Canis lupus familiaris: one gene and its partners. The main gene of each other region encodes a partner of the protein of the gene in region 5 in a complex. Links are inferred from orthologs where the notes say so. Each region holds a gene or a part of one and is shown on either strand. Other genes may lie near its edges. The genes, in order: DPF3, SMARCA2, SMARCD1, PHF10, ARID1B and DPF1.

Region 1 (3,664 bases), on a different chromosome or scaffold from region 5:
CAATGACTCCCAAACCCATATCTCATGATCAGGGATCTCTCCTGATGTCCAGCTGACTCCAGGGCATCTCCATTGCATGACCTGTAGATGTGTAGAACATGTCTCTAGCTGAGGTTGCCTTCTGGCTCCTGTAGATCTACTCTTTTTCCCATATCTCAATGGGTAGCTGTATCATCTGGCTTGCTGACCAAGCCACAACTTAGGGGACATTCTTGATTTCTTTGCTATCATTTTCTACATCTAATTAGTGACTTTCAAATGGGAACAAGACCCTTATCTTTTCCCCATGCCACAGCCCTAGTTTAGGACACTATCACTGCTCACCTGGATGGTGGTAGTAGCATCCTAAGTGGTCTTCCAGCCTCTAGGACCAACCTGTCTCCTCCCAACCTGCTCCTTCTTACACAGCAGCTAGGGAGATCTTTCTAAATTCCACGTGTGACCAGTCACTCCTCTGTTGCTAACTCTTCAAAAACCTTCCATTACCCTGTTGAAAGGTGTTAGTGTGATTAAAAAAAAAAAGTCTTTCATGATATCTCCTGCCTTATTGCTTGCTTGCTTCAATATCTACCTTTTCCAGGATTTCTGTGCTGAGGGGAGCCAAGGTGAGATTTGATGCAAAACTTAGTTTTGCAAAGTCTTATAAGCCATCTAGGTAGGTCCAAAGAATAGAGGAGAGCTGAACCTGGATAATGAGGAACAGATCACAAACGTGTAGCTACTGTGTGCAAGTTCTGAAGGAGATGTGGAGATGAGTTAAGACAAGGTTCTGCCCCAAGAGCCTTACAATCTGTAAAGGAGTAGACAAAGTATATTCCAAAGGAGCTATTCAAGAAAACAATTGTGTGTAGATATCTACCACATGCCAGGCTTTGAGGCATAAAGGAAAATGCAATTAAATGTCATAAGAAAGAAAGAGGACTATGGGGATGCAAGGGGGAGAGAGAACTTCCATTTGAGCTAGATTAGTGACATTTCTGTAGGACAGAAGAGCTGGAAGACTTGAAGGGTGGGTAGGGAATGGTTTAGAAGAGTAGGGGTCAGGGACTGGGAGAGCGTCCAGGCAGAGGGAACTGCAGGAGCGAAGGTGCAAACTGCAGGAGCAACATTCAACACAGAGCTAGAGGGTCCTATTCTCCCCTGGGCTTCAACCTCCAGCCCCCGAGGACGCTTTGGGGATCTGAAAGGTGGCATCACATCCCATCCATTTCTCTGTACTTGCATAATGAAACCCTGAAGAGGTTCTGAGGTGTCATAGATGTTACGGTCAAGTATAGCCATTGCCCTTTTCACAGGTGGAAAGGGTGAGGTTAGGAGGAATTCAGTTAAAATTTGCAAACATTTAAAGTACCTTCTATGCACTAGGCAATCATTATGGGGAACACAGAAGTGCATAAAAGTGGTTTTCCTCCCTTACAGAAACATAGTTATTGGTTAGGGGAGTTCAGAAGTGTAAGGAATCTCTTTAAACATGAATGTGAGACAGTAAAGGAAGGCCTCTTGGAGGAGGTATGATTTGAGCAGAACCCTAACGTGGGGATAGGGTTGGCATAGTTAGGGAGACAGAGCAGGAATTTGCAGGTGTGGGCAAAGCACAAAGCATATTCAGGGGACAGGGAAGACTGCAAATGGGGCCTGGAAAGGAGCATTCAGGGAGGTGGGTCTGCATGGGAGAGGCTGGAGGAGTAGGGGGTGGCCAGACACTGGCCCTAAATAATTCATTCTCTCTCTCCTCCTCTCCACCTACTCTGTATTCCACCAGGACCAGCTACTCTTCTGTGATGACTGTGACCGTGGCTATCACATGTACTGTTTAAATCCTCCAGTGGCTGAGCCCCCAGAAGGTAATGATGATGATGTCGACTGTAGAAACAACAGCTACCCCTATCACTTAGGGAGCCCTCACTCTCATTCAGGTCTCGTGCTAAGGCCTTTCCATGTCTTGTCTCATTCAATCATCACAACCCTATGCTACCATTTTACAGATGAGGAAATGGAGGCACAGTTCAACCCTCTGAAATTTCAGCTTGAGGACCAAGGAGATGTTTCTTGGTCATGCAGACAAAGCGGTGGGGAGGTGTCAGCTTCCAGGGGAACCAGCCCAGGCCTAGTGCTGCCAGTTATATCGCTGTCAAGGACAGTGGGGGTCTTTACAACAGTTCAGTGGATCGCCTCTGAACACTTAACTATTTTCTGAGGAGCGCTCACCCTCTGCCACGAGTTACAGACTCTGGCCCACTTTCAGGCCTGGGCCTCGGTCTCTGAACTGTGAAAGTCAAAGGAGAAACGGCACTTGCAGGAGTGAGGGCCAAGGGGTGGGGCGAAGGGCAGCTGGTAACTAGGGCATCTTGTTTCTTGTAGGAAGCTGGAGCTGCCACCTGTGCTGGGAACTGCTCAAAGAAAAAGCCTCAGCCTTCGGCTGCCAAGCCTAGGGCCCCGGGTCGCAGACTGTGACCTGCTGCTGGAGAGGCTGAGGCAGAGCCCACTTCACACCGGATCAAGTCCCCACTCCCATCTATCCAGACAGACCGACTGTAAGGAACACCCGTGGTCATGGAGGGCATGGACATGTGGAACCGAGAGGGTGAGGTGTCTGCTTACCCCCTACACGCAGGTTCCAGTACTTCTGTCAGCCCCTCCTTGCTTCCACCAGAAGGATCTTTCACGTTTGAAGAACACCCCTGGCCCCGGCCCTGTGGAACCCCCTCACATTTACCCCGGCCCTGGTTCCCATTTTAAGGGAAGCTGTTTTGTGACCACCGATCAGTCACTCACGTGTCGTTTGGTGTTTTCTATCTATTGTGTTCCAAGAAATCTTCACGCAGCCTCCCGCCTCCTGCTTCAGCTCTTTATCCTGAACTCAGCAGAGGGACAAAAGGCTGTGGAGAAGTTGTTATTTATTACCAGCCTCCCTGGAAACTTCTAGACTCGGAGTCGGGAGGCCATCTTGACGATGAAAATCCCTCTTTGTTCCTTGGTCTCTGTGAAGAAGAAAAGCGGTTTTCTGGACCCCTTGCAGATACACCTAGTGGTGTCTGCAGCCAGGGGGGTCCCCTGATGGGGCTGGCGAGGGAAGTAGAAGTGCTGAGGGGTGGGCAGAGACATTGGGAAGAAAATTCAGAGGCCCTGCCACAGCCGATCAGTAGTTGTTACCCATCGGGAGTGGCTTTGCAAGGGGTCAGGCTTTTGGGGTTCCTTGACCTTCGGAGCTGGGACATCCTTGAGGTGAGACAAGCCACAGCCTATGGCGGGGGAGGATGCTGAGGCTCTGCCTCCCAACCAGCCCGGGTCTGGAGCTTTCCCTGGTGGGACTCAAGAGCCGGGAAGGCGGGTGAAGGCTGCGCAGTCCGGAATCTGCATGTCGGCACAAAGGACTGCAGCTCTGCAAAGCCCTTCAGTACTGTTTTGGCACCACAAATTCCTTTTCCCAAGTAATTTCTCCTTCTACATGGTGTGTGTTTGCCACTGTCTACTGACACCGGACTCTGGAGATTTTAGGACGGGGAAGAGAGGATTGTCACCTAAACAAATAACGGGGTGATGGGGTGATTTATGATCACGGTGGCAACGGTACAGAATCCTCAGCTTGAGGGCTGCTCTTGCCCCCCCCACCCCCCAAACTCCCCAATTATGTGCCGGAGTCTTGTTTTCCAAAGATGTTTTG
Region 2 (4,391 bases), about 45 Mb from region 5:
GAGAAGTGCATTTCAGACCTGGTTGCTCCAAGACTCAATTTTGCAACTGCAAAATGGTCTTAAAATAGGATTTTACTCTAGGGGGAAAATCCTCCACTAGAGAGTCACGGTGCACTTTGAATGACTAATTGAAGCCATTACATTACAAAATAAAGGATACATCATTCTTTTCATAACACTACCATATAGGAACAGTTTTAATTTTAAGAGTCAAGCACTTACATTAATCTGAGTCTGAAATAATAGGCCCCTGATTTAAAATCTCCTAACATTCTTTCACACTTCATAAAACTAAAAATAAAATTCGTCTCAGCAAACACTGACCTATTCCGCCAGCCAAAGAACTGTATTTCAAGGAGAATTGGAACAAGAGGTCTCCAAACTGCCAAGTGCCAGCAGTTTACTGTTTGTAGCCTTAATCGGTCTGCAACGTGAGGTGGGAGAGGACAGACTGTGGGCTGCCCAGGATAAGAGATTTAGTCCCTTTCTTAAATCAAAAGCAGATTCCACGCTTCAGCTGTCCCCTCACCCGCTCGCCCCGCCCCCACGGGGTTGTTTTTCCCTATCTATGTCTTCCTTGTATGCATTTTATTCGAAGATGACAGGTGAGGGAAGCTTCACGTGCCGCATCTGGTCCGCAAAGTAAACAGAGGGGTTAGGGTGGGCTTATTTATTTACAAGGCATTCAGCCTCTCAGCTGTTTTTCCCTCGTTGGCATTTGGAAGCTTGCCGTCCTTTAGAAAAGAGACAGATTTGGCAGGAATGTTCTTTGTGCCCGCCTCCCTTTTTTACGGGGGAGAAAGGGGACAGATTTATAATTACAACCTTGGGTGGGGGGGGGAGGTAACGGGGAGGGGGGTGGCGTAGAAAAAGTTTCAGCCGGCACGACAATGCCTGCTTTTTTTTTTTTTTTTTTTTTCTCTTCTTCTTCTTTTTCTTTCACGGTCCACACTGTGCAGTGCACTAACAGCTCCGGTGCCACTCGGAGCCCTCCCCCGGTCCCCTCCCCTCTTCCCTCTGCAGGCGCGCTCCGGCAGGCGGAGGCACAGTTAAATTCCAGCACCTTCTCCACCTACCCCCAAACTACTACGCGCTATTACTACGGCCGCCCTCCCCACCCCCCACCGCGCGTCGGGGTGGCGGGGCGGGGGTGGGGGGCGCCCGGCGACGTCCCTTCCAAAGCTCCCCCCTCCCGCCCCGAGGTCGACCGCCGGGAGAGGGATGTCGGACGCCCAAGTCCTGCGGGGCTCGCGGCGAGCTCTGCGTCCTGCGCAGTTTCTCCGCTCCAGGCACCAGCACGGCCCGGGAGCCGGCGCCGCGCAGACACACACACACACACACACACACACACACACACACACACGGATCCACGCATACAGTAGAGCCGTCTCGGTGCACATTCTTGCACACCGCCCCCTCCTCCGCCCCCCCCGCCCCGAGCTCCCGGAGTCGCTGAGCGGGCCGAGTGACAGGCGCGTCCCGCCAACCCGCGCCCGGGCGGGCAGGGAGGAGCGGCGCGCGGGGCCAACTGCGGCGCGTCTTCCGGCGCCCGTGGAGGCGGCGAGGGTGGGACGCGGGGCGGAGCCCGACTTTAGGAAGAGGAGGGGATGGCTGTCATCAATGAAGTCATATTCATAATCTAGTCCTCTCTCCCTCTGTTTCTGTACTCTGGGTGACTCAGAGAGGGAAGAGATTCAGCCAGCATACTCCTCGCGAGCAAGGTAAATATAACTTACAACTCCTTTCTCCTCTCCCCCCCCCCCCCCGCCCATCCCTCCCTCCCTCCGGCCTCCGGGGCTGCAGCCGCCGCGCAAACCCCTCCGGCACCGCGCCGCCTTCGCCGGGGAGTCTTCATTATTATCCTAATTATTATTTATTGTGCATGCACGGAGACCAAAACAAACAGGCGGGCCAACCGCCGCCACCGCCACCACCACCACCACAACAAAAAAGCCCGCCTCCTCCCCGCGGGCCTCAGGTGGAATGCTCTAACGACAGCTCCCGGGCGGCCGTGGAAGAAACGGGAAAGTTTCAACCGAACCTTGCTGTTCTAATAATAACAGTAATAATTACTACTTCGGGGAGGCGAGGGGCGGGTGGGGGGGATCCCGACACAGCACAGCCTTGACCCCAGGTAGGCAGTCAGCGATGCGCTCGCTGCCAACTCAAGGTTGCAACACACACACACACACACACACACACACACACACTCCGCAAGGTTGCAATCCCCCCCCCCCCATCCCCTCGAGGCTGGGGTAGGGCGCCGGCTGGAGGACCCGGGAGGAGGATGGAAAGGCGACAGTTCACCCCGAGCCGTCCTCCCCGGAAGAGTTGGAAGGGGCGCGGGAGAGGAGGGCGAGGAGCCCGGGCTGGCGGCGGGGCGCCAACGATCGCGGCTGCCACCCGCCTCCCGGGGACTTGTTTAAAGGGCTCCGGTTGCCGAGACGCGAGCCGATCGCGGCGGGAGGAGCCGAGGCTGGCGCGCCCGGGAGGCGGCAGCCACCGCCGCGGGGCCGGTGCGTGCAGGATCGGAGGTGTCACCTCCACTTTGCGCGTTCCCTCGGGCGGGGAGGAGGACGCTGACCGGTAGGCAGGCCCTTTTTAGGCAGAGGGGTTCCCGGGGCGCTGCGCCCGGGGCTCTGCGGACGTGCCCGCCTCTGGTACCTGGTACCTGGCGGCCGCGCGGGCTCGGCTGTTGAAGTTCGGGGTGTCCGGCCCGGGCCGCGCCGCCGGCGGGGAGGGAGGAGGCCCCAGGGAAGGAGGTCGGAGGTGCCCGCCGGGCTCGGTTGCGCTGCCCTCCCCCTTCCCCGGGTTTGTTTTCGTTGGCTCGGCGTCTTTCCCCCCAGCCTGAGCCGCGGGAACCTCGGGCGTGGGTCGCCCGCGATCGTCGGGGTGCTAGGGGCTCGCCGGGGCCCGGGAGAGCCACGGCGGCCGCGGGCCGGGAGGCCATGATCCGGATAATCCTCTCTGCCTGACTGTCACAAACAGGACCCGCGCGCACCCGGCCAGCAGTGGTGGCGTTCGCCGGAGAAGGGGAAGGGCTGCGAGGGGGTGGGGGGTGGGGGGTGGGGGGAGGAGGAGGGCGGGGGTGGGGAGGGCGGGAGGCGGGGAGACCGGGTGGGAGCCTCCTCCCCACGATGACACGCACCCCTTCCTTCTCGCTCCCTGCTTTCGAGTTTGCTTTATTCCCATCCCAACCTGATTTACCCCTTCCTCTGCTCTCCCCCTCCATCCGGCCGTCTTCCCTCCTCCCGTTTGCGTTGCAAAACAGGGCCATGCCATCTGCAAAGGTGTCGCGATGCACTTCCCCAAATAACCGGTCCGGCGTGCCCGTCCCCAGGCGCCCTCCGGCTGCGGGCGCACCCCGAGCCCGGTGCTCCGGGTGCCCCGCACCAGGCCTCGCAGCCTGGGCGCAGTTGCAGCGCGCGGGGCGGGGCGCAGCAGTGCGGGCTCCCGGGGACACCCGTGCCCTGGCCCCGGCGCCCGGCCGGTTTCCGGTACACGCGGGGAAATCGCCTCCTGCCAGCGTCTTCGCGCGCGCCCCTGCCTCCGCCGCCTGGATTGCATTATTATTTTTATCCGGGTTGCAGCTTTGCGGCGGATCCTGGTGAGCGCAGGGCAGGCCGGCCTGCTGGGGGTGGGGGCTGGGGTGGGGAGGGAGGGAAGTTGGACGTGGATCAGGCAGGAAAAAAAAAAAAAAAAAAAAAGTTTGGCAGGGCGGCTAAGTAGGGAGGGGGTGGGAGGGGGCGGCGAGCTCCCGCGGCTCGCGCCTCCGCGCCCTCGGGGCCGGCCGAGTGTGTCTGCGCGTGAGTGTGCGTGTGTGCTGCGCGCGGGGCCGGGCCGGTGCCCCCGTCGCGGGTAGGGGCGCGGGCGGCCGCGGGGAGCCCGGGGAGCGCCAGGCGAGGTTCGGCGGCGGGGGCGGGCGGGGGTGGCGTGCGCGTGTGCCTGCGAGTGTGAGTGTGAGTGTGCGCGCGCGAGCGGCAGAGAATCAGGAAGTCACAGCGGCGAAGCGCACACAGACATGTTTGATCGCCGTGACATGACGCGCGCGAGGGAGGAAGCGGCGGCGGCGGCGGCGGCGGCGGCGGCGGCGGCGGGGGCCGGGCCGCGGGCTCGGGCGCGGGCCTAGGGCTCGGGCCGGGAGCCCCCTCGGGCCGTGCGGCCGCCGCAGGCTCAGCGAGCCCCGCGCCTCTTTTTGTTCCGCGTCCCCCAGGTAAGGAGCCTGCGCCGGCGCCGCCCGCCGAGCGCGGAGCTTGCCAGCGCTCTCCCTGCCGGCCCCCGCCGGGCTCCCGGCTCGCCTTTCCTGCAAAGTCAGGCCGGCGGGGGCAGCGGGCTCCTCGCCCTGCGATCGATCGCGTGGAAACTTTGCAGCGGGCAGCCCCGCGACGGGG
Region 3 (3,637 bases), on a different chromosome or scaffold from region 5:
AGTGGAAAACTGGATCTCTGCTTTCAAAGCAGCTTGCGTTCTGTTTGGAGAAACTAGGCTCATAGGATTAATGCATTTATTTATTTATTTAAAATGTGAAGATCTAATTGGTTTTATTCAATGATTCATGAACTGGGCAGCATCCCTTCTAGTAAATAGGCATTCTGAGGACTTGCACAGAATGGAAAGTTTTGATAGCAAGGAGGTTACTAGCAAAAAATAAAGGATTGTTTCAGACCAGGTTATTTTCTTTTAGAGGGAAGGGAACCGACTGATACAATTTAAAAAGTTGTAAAGCAAAAAAAAAAAAAAAAAAAAAAAGTTGTAAAGTATGTAAGACATTATCGGAACTCACCACTACCAAAGACATAATTCAAAGACGGAGATGGGTGAGGCTGGAATAGCCGGGGAACGCTCCATGGCAAATTTCGGATTTGCGGTAATCCTCAGAGAGGAGAGCACCATAAGCTCAGGCAAGGAGGTGGGAGTGAGTACCGAAAGAGTGAAACGTGCCCTCAGTTTTCTCCTGTCCTGTGGTGACTGTAATTACGGAGGCTGAGCAGAGGAACACAGGACAAGGGGTGCCAGAAAGGATCCCAGAAGAGAGCAATGACTCATTAATAGCAGGGGGTGACTTTGGTCGTTGTGTTAGTAGTTTGCGAGGGCTGCCGTAGTAAAGTACCACGAACTGAGTGCCTTAACAAGAGAAATTTATTTTTATCTGGAGGCTGGAAGTCTGAAGTCAGGGTGTTGGGAGGGAGAATGTGTTTCCAGGCCCCTCTCCCAGCTTGCGATAGCCTCAGGCATTCCTTGGTTTGCAGATGGTGTTCTCCAGGTGTCTTCACATCATCTTCCCTCTGTGCATGTCTGTCTCTGTGTCCAAGTTCCCCCTTTTTATAAGGACACCAGTCCTGTTGGATTAGGCCCACCCTAATGACCTCATCTTAACTTGATCATCTGCAGAGACCCTATTTCCAAATAAGGTCACATTCACAGGTACTGGGGGGTTAGGATTTTGTCGTCTTTTGGGGGGATACAATTCATCCATAACAGGTATGAAGGAGGGAAACAAGTCCTTCTCCTCTTTCTCCCCCCTTCCCTGTCCCCCAGACCATGACCGATGTGGTGGGTAACCCAGAGGAAGAACGCCGAGCTGAGTTTTACTTCCAGCCTTGGGCTCAGGAGGCCGTGTGCCGATACTTCTACTCCAAGGTAGGTGCCTGGGTGTGGGAAATAGACAAAAAGGCAGGGATCTGAACCCCTGATGGATGTCAGTAGTATGAGGTGCCAGCTTCTGGCTTGTCTCATCTTCTGCTCCCTCCACTGTTTTCTCTCTAGGTGCAGCAGAGACGACAAGAATTAGAGCAAGCCCTGGGAATCCGAAATACATAGGGCCTCTCCCACAGTGCTGAGCTGGCTCCATCGATTCTTATTTGGGCCCTGTGCTACCTGCCTCATAGCACCTGCCTTGGCCTTGCTTGGGGCCTCCCAGGGGATGCTGTTGGTTCAAGGACAACATCAGAAAGAAGAGGGTCTCACATTTCTGTCTCATAAGACACCTGTCACCCTCTTCTCCCACCCCATCCCTTCCTGTCCCCCAGCTTCCCTTTGCCCCACAAAGTTCCCATGTGCCTCTACCCTCCCCTGGTCTACATAGGACCTCTAGGTAGCGTTAGAGAGAGAACCTGTAGTGGTAACCAGTGCATTGAATGGATTGGGCCTAAGGCCAGGTGGTCTTCAAGGGGACCAGCTACACTGATCCTGCCCTTCAGAGACCCAGGAGTTGGGAGCTTTAGTCCCTTCTCTGAGACTCAGGCCTGGGGGCACTCTATAAGCTAGTTGATCTTGGCTCTCTGGATAACAGAATCCAATTTCCTTCCTTCCCTCCACAGGTTTGGAGCACACTCTCCCTTTACTTCTTGCCCTCTAGCACTAAAGGAACCCCGGTTCTTGGGCCCCACTGAGCCCCAGGTCAGTCCGCAGCCCTCTGGATTGGCCTGCTGTCTCAGTGCTTCTCTTACTCCCTCGTAGGGGGTCCACATCAGTATTGGAGTTTGTTCTTTAACTGTTGCTCCTTCCCAGCACACTCCCTGTAGCTGCTCTTTTTAGGCTCCCCTGCTATCTATCTGTCCTAACGCAGGGCATTTGGGTGGGGGAATCTTGCCTTTCCCTGTCAGAGCCCCAGGGATCTAACCTGGGGTATTGTCATTGCCAGCAGAGGCTATTCCTTCCTGCTGTTGCTTGGAGGTGTGACTCATTTATTCACTCCACCCTGCCCCCCCACCCCCACCCCTTCGTGGAGAAACAGGCCTGAAATCAAACGGGTAAAAGCCCTGGGCCATCCCTGTCTTCCTGTCCCTTGTCTGCCCAGTTGACACCCACTGGTGACTTCTAGGGCACTGAGGAGTGAAAGCGCCTAGGGCTGGCGAATAGCTCTGAGTTGGGTTTGTGACTCTTCCCTCTCCCTGCCTCACAGGATTGTGACTCCCCAGCCCCTGCCCTCAAAGCTTCAGACCCCTCAGGTAGCAGCAGGACCTTGTGATCTTGGCCCCTTGGAACTGAGATGGTTTTGCATCTTTCCAGGAGAGCCTCAGATTCTTCTTCCAGGTTGTATCACCCCAAGTTAGCATACCCCAGGCTCGCAGACTCAACATAGCAGGGTGGGAGACAGCTGGGCACAGAGGGGGACTCCGTTCAGCCTGGGCTCTAAACCCACAGAACTGACAAAGCCCCTGCTTCCCCACCCCCTCCTCAGGCTCCTGCGAGCACATCCTCCAGCCCCATAACCCTGCCTGTTCCACACCGGGGACAGAATTTTCTCTCCATCTTCCCCTTCTGACCATTGTCCCATCCCTCCCTTAAGAGGTTCTCCCCACAGACACTGGACAACCTCTGTCCTTGGGGCTGGAACCAGGAGAAGGAAGTTCAGCACTCCTACATAGTGTCCCTGTTGAAGATAACTTTTTATTAACGGAATTATTATGTTTTTTTCATGGACCAAAATTTTTTTTGTACTGTCCCCTTATCGATGTCACCCAGTTTTAATAAAAGAATCTTCTGAAGGATGGGTCCCCCTACCTACTGAGGGAGAGCTTTTCCCCGAGCTCTTTCTCCAATACCATTAGCCACACTCATGGTGTTTGTTCATTTTATTTAACAAATATTGACTGAGCACCTGCTGTGTGCCAGCTGCGGTACTAGGCACTAGGGATACGGTGGAAAACGAGGTTTCTGCGCTGTGGACCTCAGGTTCTCCAGAGCTTGCTCTGTCAGCCCGCTGGCTGAGCAGGCTGGTCTGAGCAGGCTGGGTACTGGTTGGGATCATTGGGCTTCCTCCGTGGATCTGAGAGTCCCGCCCCGGGCTCTAGGTAGGGAGGTACTACCAAGGCCGTGCCACTGCCATCTTATCTTCTCCCCGTGGTGTGCGCAGGCGCCGTAGGCTTGCTGATCCTGAGCCACCTTGGGGGCAGGTCCTCTTGGGCCCCTATCCAGCCAGGTCCTAGCTGAGGACCTCTGTGTGCCTCTGCCTGCTGTTCCCTTAAGGCTCCACTCTAGGGCCCTAGTGAGATTTCAGTTCTTCCGAGCAGCATGGGAGGGCTGTGCTGTCCAAGTACAGCCTGGGGCCCCTCGGCAGGGC
Region 4 (2,405 bases), on a different chromosome or scaffold from region 5:
TAGGAAGTTCTTCTGGCATGAATTTATAGCCCTCTTCTACCCTTCCAGCCAAAGGTCATTCCAAATGCTCTATGTGGAATTTGTCTGAAGGGTAAGGAGTCCAACAAGAAAGGGAAGGCTGAATCACTTATACACTGCTCCCAGTGTGATAACAGTGGTAAGTACTGACATGTCTTCTTAACATTTTAACCACCCTATTTGTTGCTTCAGAAACCAGGATTTCTAGTTGTCAGCTAGACCTGAGTCAAAGAATCATCAAATATATAGGGTGACCTATGAGGCATAGAAAAGCAGCCCGTGTATTCTCTACTTTGTATTGTCATTTCTTTGGTGATTAAACATTGTAGCCATTCTCAAGAACTCCCGAAGCAAATTAGCATTTGATTATGCCATAGTAAGTGCAAAATTCTTACGTGAAATACTAATGCTGGTTTTGGTTTAGGCCATCCTTCTTGCCTGGATATGACAATGGAGCTTGTTTCTATGATTAAGACCTACCCATGGCAATGTATGGAGTGTAAAACTTGCATTATATGTGGACAGCCCCACCACGAAGAAGAAATGATGTTCTGTGATGTGTGTGACAGAGGTTATCATACTTTTTGTGTGGGCCTTGGTGCTATTCCATCAGGTAAAGACTGAAAAAAAGGAGGAACGTTATCTCTGAGTGAAGGGACTCTCCCAGCCTTTTTTTCTTAAAGGCTCACATAAACACCATAAAGATCCTTCTGTTCACAAGAAGTGACCAGAGCTGTGGTTACCCAGAAAATGTCCACCTGCTTTTCATCCCTAGGTAACCCAACTGAATCACAAGTGGGATGTAAGTGTTAGAGGTACAGCTTAATACATAGAGAACTCATGTCTTTCTACTGGAAGAACTAAAGAGCATCAGTTTGTTTCAAAGCCTTGATTTTATTTTTATGTCATCTATTCAGAAACTTAACAAAATGACTGCTATGCCTTTATAAATATTAAACCAGATTTCTATAAAATGAGACAGCATGACAATTCCAGATAACTTTGGAATGAACAGAGTCGAATAAATCACAGTAATTGGACTAAAATATTACACATAATTGTGTAAATTTAGAACTTATTTGCATAGTTAACACTGTATAATACTTTATAAAATGTATGCCTAGAACTAAGTTTCCTGGGAATCATTAAGAAGCAGGCAACTTGAAGTTCTGTAGTAACTCAGATGGAGTACATGGTGCAGTTTATCAGTGATTAAGTTTAAAGTGCTGAGTCTGGTACACCGGCCTTGGGAGGAAGTTTAGACTCGCACTTGCCACTGAGCAGCAGGGAAACGGCTGAAAGTGAGCCAAACTCTGTAACAAGTTTTATATCAGGATTTGTATTATTGAACTCAAAGTGTGGTAGTGTTTGGGTTATAGAAAGGATGGTAGTTTTCAAAGGTCCCCATCATTACACACAATTACCTCCTGCCCCCTCCACTTGCATTGAATTTCACATGGTATTGATTACACTGATTATTTTAAGGGAGTTTATTTTTCTCCTTAAAAATTATTAGAACTCCTTATTAGAACTAAGTGCCCTTCACAACACAAATCCACAGAGAAATTACTAGCGATAGCTAAAGGAGAGCCAAATGGGTTTAAAATTCAGTCCTAAAGAATTAAATTTCATAGTATATTAACTAACAATTTTTCTCCTAGGTCGCTGGATTTGTGACTGTTGTCAGCGAGCCCCCCCAACTCCCAGGAAAGTGGGCAGAAGGGGGAAAAACAGCAAAGAGGGATAAGATAAAATAGCTTTCTGACCCCAATATTGTAATATGGATATAAATGAAATATTTGGTGCCAATTTATTTACATTCTCAATTTTATGCCAATAAAAGATTTCTGAAATTAACTATGTGCTTAAAATCTGCTACTTTATTTATTATAAGCTACTTTTACCTTCGAAACCAATTTTAGATAGAGAAATCATAGTTCATTTTCCCAAAGTTTTTTTTAAATCTTTAGTACTTTGGCTCTATTCAGAAATTCAGTGGAAATATTACGTAATCGAAATACTCAACTATTCCTTCATTGACCAGAAAGTGAATAGTAGTTGCATGAAATTTTCCTAATCTATATGGTCTCTGGCCTACCACTGGCAGCATAACAAAGTTATTTAATGATGGAAGAATTTTAACTAATAGGTAGGCCAGGATGATAAATAACAAACGATCTGATGAGAGTTGGTGCAGCTGGGTTTCCTGTCTGGACAGGGGCGCCCACTCCACCTGGGGGCAGGCCCAGCGCTTTAGCCCCGCAGCCACGCAAAAGCGCAAAAATGTACGTTTCAGGCTTGATTTCAGCAGCAGCTTCAAAGTCCTAAACACATTGTAACTTCATTCAGAAACTCTAGGGAGAACACAGTTCTAGCTACCAGCCCTT
Region 5 (4,207 bases):
TTAGAGATGAACTCCTATCCAGAGGGTTAATTGTGCACATTAACCTCTGAAATATGATGAAAGGCGTCGTACAGATTTATGAAGACACGAGATAAACTTCAGCTGTCCCTATTATGGCACCGATAGTTAAATTTCCATGTGCAAGCTGGAGCATAGCACACACCGGTCTACTTATTCGAAGACTTTCCCTTTAGAGAGAGGATAGAGAGAGACAAGCGCCTGTCGTTAAGAAAAATGCTCCTCTGGGAATACTTTTGCGTCTGTAGGCACTGCTAAGCCTACAGGCATACAGAAGGTGCCTGGAAAGAAGAGTTACGTAAACGTCCTCTTTGGGGCAGGTGCGGTCCGTCTCCGCACTTCCTGGGCGCTTGCTGTGTCCAGGACACGCACTCCCCGAACCCACGCGGCCGACCTTCCCCGAAACTCTTTCCTCCTCTCGCAAGTTTTGGAGAAGTTGTGGGAATTACACCGATGGCCCCAAATCGAGGCAGAGCGGCTAACGTTCTGGGGGAAAAAAAAAAAAAATTACATAACTCCTGGGAGAGGCAGTGCTGCTTTTTTTTTTTTTTTTTCCTTTTGCACGGATCGCCCAAACATTTTGCTCCTCCGAACCCCGGAGGCCAACCGACAACTTTGTCCCCCAGCCCTTCTCCCTCTTTTGTCTGCTCGTCAGACTCGTTTTCCACCTTTGTATCGTTCCTTTTAGACGTGAAAACAAACACGCGAACGGCCGGTTGGCAAGGAGACGGGGCGCGAGGGGAGAAAGCGCAGCCCGCCGCCGCCCCAGGCCGCCCCAGCCCAGCCCGCCCTGCCCAGCCCAGCCCTGCCCTGCCCTGCCCGGGGCGGCGGTGCGCGGGGCGCGGGGCGGCGGGCGGCGGGCGGCGGGGCGGCCGGGGGCCCGCGAGGCTGCGCCCGGCGGCGGCGGCGGCGGCGGCGGCGGCGGCGGCGGCGGGGGGCGGCCCGCGCCGAGTCCAGTCCGCGTTTTGCGAGTGCACGCGAGCAATCAGACAGAAGTGGATAATAGTTGCTCGGGCTCGCTCGGCTCCCTCGCATGCCGGCCTGGGCCCGACAGGCTCAGTCAGTCGTGTATTTACCCATATCCGGGTTAGAGAGGAAAAGAGAAAAGTTTCATTTAAACCTGAACTAAAAACTTTGACCATGAAATCACACAGCGGGAGCAGGCCCAGACCGTAAGGCGTGACGCCCGGTTCGGCTCCGGCGGGGCCTGCGGAGGGGGAGGGGGCCGCTCGCCTCCCGTCGGGGCGTGTGGATGCGCACAGGAGGGGCCGCCGACTAAAAAGTGGGTTTTATTGTCTCCCCCCGCCCCCCGCCCGGCCTCGCCACGCCGCGGCGATCATGGCCGCGCGGGCAGCAGCGGCGGCGGCGGCGGCGGCGGCGGCGGCGCGGGCGCGGACGGGCAGCGGCGAGCGGCGGGCGCCCCCCGGGCCGCGGCCGGCGCCCGGGGCCCGGGACCTGGAGGCGGGGGCGCGCGGCGCGGCGGCGGCGGCGGCGGCGGCGGCGGCGGCGGCACCGGGACCCATGCTGGGGGGCGGCGGCGACGGCGGCGGCCTGCATAGTGTGCACCACCACCCCCTGCACCCCCGTCACGACCTGAACATGGCCCATAACGCGAGCACGGCGGCCGCCGCCGCCAGCTCTCACAGCGCCAAGAGCGGCGGCTCCGAGGCGGCTCTCAAGGAGGGTGGAAGCGCCGCCGCGCTGTCCTCCTCCTCCTCCGCGGCGGCGGCGGCGGCGGCGGCGGCGGCGGCGGCGGCGTCCTCCTCTTCCTCCTCGTCGGGCCCGGGCTCGGCCATGGAGACGGGGCTGCTCCCCAACCACAAACTGAAAACCGTTGGCGAAGCCCCCGCCGCAGCGCCCCACCAGCAGCACCACCACCACCACCATGCCCACCACCACCACCACCATGCCCACCACCTCCACCACCACCACCACGCACTACAGCAGCAGCTAAACCAGTTCCAGCAGCAGCAGCAGCAGCAGCAACAGCAGCAGCAGCAACAGCAGCAGCAGCAGCAGCAGCAACATCCCATTTCCAACAACAACAGCCTCGGCGGCGCGGGCGGCGGCGCGGCTCAGCCCGGTCCCGACATGGAGCAGCCGCAACATGGAGGCGCCAAGGACAGTGCCGCGGGCAGCCAGGCCGACCCCCCGGGCCAGCCTCTGCTGAGCAAGCCGGGCGACGAGGACGACGCGCCGCCCAAGATGGGGGAGCCGGCGGGCGGCCGGTTCGAGCACCCGGGCCTGGGCGCCCTGGGCGCGCAGCAGCCGCCGATCGCCGTGCCCGGGGGCGGCGGCGGCGGCGGCGGCGGCGGCGGCGGCAGCGGCGGCGGCGGCGGCGGCGGCAGCGGCGGCGGCGGCGGTGGCGGCCCCGCGGCCGTCTCGGAGTTTAATAATTACTATGGCAGCGCTGCCCCTGCTAGCGGCGGCCCCGGCGGCCGCACTGGGCCTTGCTTTGATCAACATGGCGGACAACAAAGCCCCGGGATGGGGATGATGCATTCCGCCCCAGCCGCCGCCGGAGCCCCCAACAGCATGGACCCCCTGCAGAACTCCCACGAAGGGTACCCCAACAGCCAGTACAACCATTATCCGGGCTACAGCCGGCCCAGCGCGGGCGGCGGCGGCGGCGGCGGCGGAGGAGGAGGAGGAGGAGGCAGCGGAGGAGGAGGAGGAGGAGGAGGAGGAGGAGGAGGAGGAGGAGCAGGAGCGGGAGCTGTGGCGGCGGCGGCCGCGGCGGCGGCAGCAGCAGCAGGAGGCGGCGGCGGCGGCGGCGGCGGCGGCTATGGGGGCTCGTCCTCGGGGTACGGGGTGCTGAGCTCCCCCCGGCAGCAGGGCGGCGGCATGATGATGGGCCCCGGGGGCGGCGGGGCCGCGAGCCTCAGCAAGGCGGCCGCCGGCGCGGCGGCTGGGGGCTTCCAGCGCTTCGCCGGGCAGAACCAGCACCCGTCGGGGGCCACCCCGACCCTCAACCAGCTGCTCACCTCGCCCAGCCCCATGATGAGGAGCTACGGCGGCAGCTACCCCGACTACAGCAGCCCCAGCGCGCCGCCGCCGCCGCCGCCGTCGCAGCCCCAGTCCCAGGCGGCGGCGGCGGCGGCGGCGGCGGCGGCGGCGGCGGGGGCGGCGGCGGGCGGCCAGCAGGCGGCCGCGGGCATGGGCTTGGGCAAGGACATGGGCGCCCAGTACGCCGCTGCCAGCCCGGCCTGGGCGGCCGCGCAACAAAGGAGCCACCCGGCGATGAGCCCCGGCACCCCCGGCCCGGCCATGGGCAGATCCCAGGTAACCCCCGCGCCGGCCGGGCCTGCTTCCGCCGCGGCGGCCTCGCCGCGCGCCTCGAGCCCGACTTTCTTTCTTTCCGCGTACTTTTTCCGCGTCTTCTGCCGGGGGGGAGGCGGGGGCGAGGCGCCCAAAGCCATTTTAACTCGCGGCTGCCTCCCTCGGAGGCTGGGCGGCGCGCGGCGCCCGAGTGCGCGGCGCGGGGCCCGGGGGCCCGGGGGCCCGGGGAGAGGGTCGCGCCGAGGCCCGGGACGCCCGCCGGGACGCGCGGCCGCCCACCCCCCCCCCCCCCCGCCCCGGGCGCGGAGCCCCGCGCGGAGCCGTGCGCGGAGCCGGGGATTGCGCGCCCAGGACGCGGCGTGGGCGCCGGGGGCGGCCCGGGCGGCTTCGGTAACCAGATCGGCGCTCCCGGCCCGCCGGGTCGAGGGAGGAATATTGACCCCGTCTCCTCGGTGAGCGCCCACGACCAGCTTTAACTGGGAAAAGAACGAGGAACTTTGTCCTACCTCCAGCCACACCGCGTTCCCTCTTAACCTGCAAGGTGAAGGCAGAGGGGGGAGGAAAGAGAAAAAAAGAAAGAAAGAAAGAAAGAAAAAAAAAGGTTAGCTTTGTGGCCACCGAGGGTGTTTTTCGTAGTTGTGCCCGGCTATTCGGAGATACTCGATGCGAGCTTTGAGTTTGAGTGCTTCGTAGCAAAAATAACACCCCGGTTTACAACGACGTGGAGGTGAGAGAGGTTCTAAAATTAATCGATTCATTCCCGAGAATAGCCAGGAAATCCATTATTTTTGGCTTCCAGGCTGCTCGAAAGGAGTCACCTTCGACAGGATAGGCTGTGCTAATGGAACGCATTCCGGTTAAATGGGACTTATTTTGATCTCGGATCAGGCATACATTTTATTCGGCGAGT
Region 6 (3,340 bases), about 69 Mb from region 5:
AGGGTCTGGCTGTGTCTTTCTCAGGGTCTCGGCATCCTTCCCAGTATGTATGATTGAGTCTTTGAGTCTTGTTGCCGGTCGAGTGTGGGAAAGCCTCTGTCCTGAAGCAAAGGGCATGGTTCCCTGACCCGGGCTGTTTGAGGAATCCTCCAGGGACAACATACCCCCCTGACCCCACCCTTGTCTGCAGACTGTGAGGCACCCCTGAAGAAGGAGGGCGGCCTCCCAGAAGGGCCAGTCCTTGAGGCGCTACTGTGTGCGGAGACAGGGGAGAAGAAGATTGAGTTGAAGGAGGAGGAGACCATTATGGACTGCCAGGTGGGACCACCCCTCAGGGGCCTGAGCTGCCTTCTCATCCCTGCCACCCGCCCTGGCACATCCTGTTCCTGCTCTGCAGTCTCCCCGGGCCTTGGGGCACCCTGGATCTCCATCCTCCCACACCCTGTCTCTTTTTAGAAGCCCCTCTTGACTTGCCCTCCTCCCCCCCATCTCCAGCGGTGTCCAGAACTTCCCCAGAGCAGGACAGCATCCCCCCCATTTTCTTGACCTCGATCCCCCTTCTCCTGGTGCCCAGAAACAGCAGCTGCTGGAGTTTCCACATGATCTTGAGGTGGAAGACTTGGAGGATGACATTCCCAGGAGGAAGAACAGGGCCAAAGGAAAGGTATTACCTCTCAACTTTTCTCCATCGCCCCACCCCTCCGTGGCAGAGCCAGTGTACTGGGCACACACAATGGTCCGGCCTTGCCCCAGTTTGACCCTATTTAATCCCCAGAGAAGCCTGACGGGGTGGGGGTGGGAAGGGGGTTCGTAGAGGATCTTATACCCATTTTACAGATGAGCAAACCGAGGCTCAGATATCATTATACCGTTTGCAAAACAGAGATTGTCCAGTGGCTGAGAGCCGCCTTATACCCACGCTACACGCGAGGAAGCTGAACCTCTCGGTGGAGGCCCACAGTTAGGAAGTGGCAGAGCTGCGGGTCACCTTTCAGGCCCACGAGGTGAAAGCCCTTCCGGTTCCCTCCGTTTCTTGGCCGCTCACCCCCCCCCTTCCCCCGCAGGCATACGGCATCGGGGGTCTCCGGAAACGCCAGGACACCGCTTCCCTCGAGGACCGAGACAAGCCGTATGTCTGTGATAGTGAGTCCTTCTGAAGAGGGGGAGAGAGAGAGTGGGGCCTAGAGACCTCCCCCCTGCTGGCCCCCTCCCTCCTGTTCTAGAGCCCGGTGGGCGGGGCGCTCAGGCCTCTGGCAGAGGGGGGAGGTGTGACCCCGAGGCCAGGGTGGAGGCCGCCCAGGGTGGAGGCCGCCCGGCTGGGAGGGCTGACCCGCCCCCCTCCCTGCTCGCCCTCCAGTCTGTGGGAAACGGTATAAGAACCGGCCAGGGCTCAGCTACCACTACACCCACACCCACCTGGCTGAGGAGGAGGGGGAGGAGAACGCGGAGCGCCACGCCCTGCCCTTCCACCGGAAAAACAACCATAAACGTGAGCAGGCAGGCGGGCTGTGGGGTAGTGAGGGACCCGGGGAGTGGGGGCTGAGGAGCCGGGGAGGGAGGGGGCACATTAGACATTTCTGGAAAATCTCCAGCTCAGCGGTCCCCTCCCCCCACCGACCAAGGGGATGCTGGCTCTGGGGTTGCCATGGCAACCAACCATCTCTCCCTCTCGCTCCCGGCCGGGCATAATATTTCTGGGTCTGATTTATTGTTTCAATTAGAGCTTGGGGAGGGGGGTGATAGATGACTCCCCTCCCTCCCTGCCTCCCTCTCTCCCTTCTCCGCGAAGCTTTGGCTGAGGGGCAGGGTCTGTGGCCTGGGAGCCCTTGGCGCCTGCCCATGCCAATCCCGTGCCAGCCCTGACAGCCGAGGGGTGGGGGAGGGCTTGGGGAGGCTCTGCCGGTGGAGGGACTGTCTTCCCACCCATCTCTTGGTGGGAGAGGGCAGTCTCTTCATCCCGTCCCCTCTACACACCCGGGCACCTCCGTGTTCAGGATTTTTCTTGTGAATGTCCGTCTGTTTCCATATCAGATCTTGGCGAGTGGCGTCCCCAGTTTTTATCTAGTCGGGCGCTTAGCTGGCACTGGTTGTCTGGTAGAAGTGTGTATGAATGGGGAAGCAGGGGGCTCTTCCTAAAGCTGTTATTTGCAATTTTACCTAATAAAGAGGATGTGTGGGTTGTCCTCAGAGAGTCTGGGGCTCCTGATGAGAGTTATTTGGGTCCCCAGTTCTGTTCTGCTACTGGCCGCAGCTCAGGGGAGCTACTCTGTCTCCTTACCTCCCTCCGGGCCTGGAAAAAGGGGTCCACCCTTGGGGCTGAGGCTGGGGGCAGGGTGGAGCCTTGCCTGTGGTGAGAGTCCCTCTCTCTGTCCCCCCAACCCCAGAGTTTTACAAAGAATTGGCCTGGGTCCCTGAGGCACAGAGGAAACACACAGGTAGGGATGCCTCCCTCTGCCCCTATTTCCCCAGCAGCCTCTGACTAGGTGTCCCTGGCTGCCTGTGGCAACCCCTGCCTGCTGTCTTTCAGCCAAGAAGGCACCTGATGGCACTGTCATCCCCAACGGCTACTGTGACTTCTGTCTGGGTGGCTCCAAGAAGACTGGGTGTCCCGAGGACCTCATCTCCTGTGCTGACTGTGGGCGATCAGGTGATACCCCCACCCGAGGTTGCCGGGGGCCTGGGTGGAGGGCACACCAGGAATCTAGATCTGGAGGATGGGAGGTGGAGAGGCGCGGCCTGGTGGGGGGAACCCAGGGGTGGCGCAACGGATTCCACTGCTGAGGACTGTGGGAAACCCAGAGGGGTCAGAGAGGCTCTGGGATGTGGTTGTCATGGCATTGGTGGTGGTGGCCTGTGCTTATCATGGCACGAGGAGTGGTGAAGGATGGTTGCCCCGGCATCGTGGGGAGTGGACTGTGATAATGAGTCATGGATGGCCACTGTCGGGGTCCTGTGGATAACCGACGGCGCTTGCCGTGGACTTGTGGTTAATAGAATGTGGTTTCCCAGGGTGGACTTGTAGGTAATAGACTGTGGTTGTCTCAGCACAGTGGGTAATGAATTGTGGTTGTCATGGTATTACGGGTAGTGCGATGTGGTTGTCATGGCGACTGGGTAGCTGTTGTGGCACCGGGGTAGTGGCCAACGGGGGGGTCTCTGCGCTGGGGTAGCGGGACGGCCAGCGGGTTGGCATCGCACGGTATTGTCACAAGCAGTTTGGCGGCCAGGGTATCCCGGGTAATGGGGCTCGGGCTGCAGGGAACCCAGGGTGTGGGGCCCCCCTGTGCCAGGCAGTTGCCATGGCATCGCGGCTGGGAGAACGTGGTTGCCACGTTACTGT

The links.
Region 1: ARID1B (region 5) and DPF3 share a complex: the UniProt entries of both Homo sapiens proteins name them as parts of the neuron-specific chromatin remodeling complex. The link is inferred for Canis lupus familiaris from reciprocal best matches to the Homo sapiens genes ARID1B and DPF3.
Region 2: ARID1B (region 5) and SMARCA2 share a complex: the UniProt entries of both Homo sapiens proteins name them as parts of the neuron-specific chromatin remodeling complex. The link is inferred for Canis lupus familiaris from reciprocal best matches to the Homo sapiens genes ARID1B and SMARCA2.
Region 3: ARID1B (region 5) and SMARCD1 share a complex: the UniProt entries of both Homo sapiens proteins name them as parts of the neuron-specific chromatin remodeling complex. The link is inferred for Canis lupus familiaris from reciprocal best matches to the Homo sapiens genes ARID1B and SMARCD1.
Region 4: ARID1B (region 5) and PHF10 share a complex: the UniProt entries of both Homo sapiens proteins name them as parts of the neural progenitors-specific chromatin remodeling complex. The link is inferred for Canis lupus familiaris from reciprocal best matches to the Homo sapiens genes ARID1B and PHF10.
Region 6: ARID1B (region 5) and DPF1 share a complex: the UniProt entries of both Homo sapiens proteins name them as parts of the neuron-specific chromatin remodeling complex. The link is inferred for Canis lupus familiaris from reciprocal best matches to the Homo sapiens genes ARID1B and DPF1.

Annotation. Positions count from the first base shown.
Region 1 is NC_049229.1:46,326,592-46,330,255, reverse strand, and holds part of DPF3 (zinc finger protein DPF3), read left to right. Parts: intron 1-1,762; coding exon 1,763-1,844; intron 1,845-2,361; coding exon 2,362-2,432; 3' UTR 2,433-3,664. UniProt on the Homo sapiens protein: Belongs to the neuron-specific chromatin remodeling complex (nBAF complex).
Region 2 is NC_049222.1:91,388,923-91,393,313, forward strand, and holds the start of SMARCA2 (probable global transcription activator SNF2L2), read left to right. Parts: upstream 1-1,560; 5' UTR 1,561-1,721; intron 1,722-2,450; exon of another isoform or gene 2,451-2,586; intron 2,587-3,474; exon of another isoform or gene 3,475-3,607; intron 3,608-4,192; exon of another isoform or gene 4,193-4,213; intron 4,214-4,391. UniProt on the Homo sapiens protein: ATPase involved in transcriptional activation and repression of select genes by chromatin remodeling (alteration of DNA-nucleosome topology).
Region 3 is NC_049248.1:42,025,184-42,028,820, forward strand, and holds the end of SMARCD1 (SWI/SNF-related matrix-associated actin-dependent regulator of chromatin subfamily D member 1), read left to right. Parts: intron 1-693; exon of another isoform or gene 694-1,110; coding exon 1,111-1,212; exon of another isoform or gene 1,213-1,334; intron 1,335-1,338; coding exon 1,339-1,392; 3' UTR 1,393-3,065; downstream 3,066-3,637. UniProt on the Homo sapiens protein: Involved in transcriptional activation and repression of select genes by chromatin remodeling (alteration of DNA-nucleosome topology).
Region 4 is NC_049233.1:72,418,986-72,421,390, reverse strand, and holds the end of PHF10 (PHD finger protein 10), read left to right. Parts: intron 1-48; coding exon 49-157; intron 158-442; coding exon 443-631; intron 632-892; exon of another isoform or gene 893-1,679; coding exon 1,680-1,765; 3' UTR 1,766-1,875; downstream 1,876-2,405. UniProt on the Homo sapiens protein: Involved in transcription activity regulation by chromatin remodeling. Belongs to the neural progenitors-specific chromatin remodeling complex (npBAF complex) and is required for the proliferation of neural progenitors.
Region 5 is NC_049222.1:46,851,306-46,855,512, forward strand, and holds the start of ARID1B (AT-rich interactive domain-containing protein 1B), read left to right. Parts: upstream 1-1,341; 5' UTR 1,342-1,356; coding exon 1,357-3,300; intron 3,301-4,207. UniProt on the Homo sapiens protein: Involved in transcriptional activation and repression of select genes by chromatin remodeling (alteration of DNA-nucleosome topology).
Region 6 is NC_049222.1:115,603,003-115,606,342, forward strand, and holds part of DPF1 (zinc finger protein neuro-d4), read left to right. Parts: intron 1-190; coding exon 191-318; intron 319-574; coding exon 575-664; intron 665-1,064; coding exon 1,065-1,143; intron 1,144-1,357; coding exon 1,358-1,489; intron 1,490-2,384; coding exon 2,385-2,435; intron 2,436-2,527; coding exon 2,528-2,647; intron 2,648-3,340. UniProt on the Homo sapiens protein: May have an important role in developing neurons by participating in regulation of cell survival, possibly as a neurospecific transcription factor. Belongs to the neuron-specific chromatin remodeling complex (nBAF complex).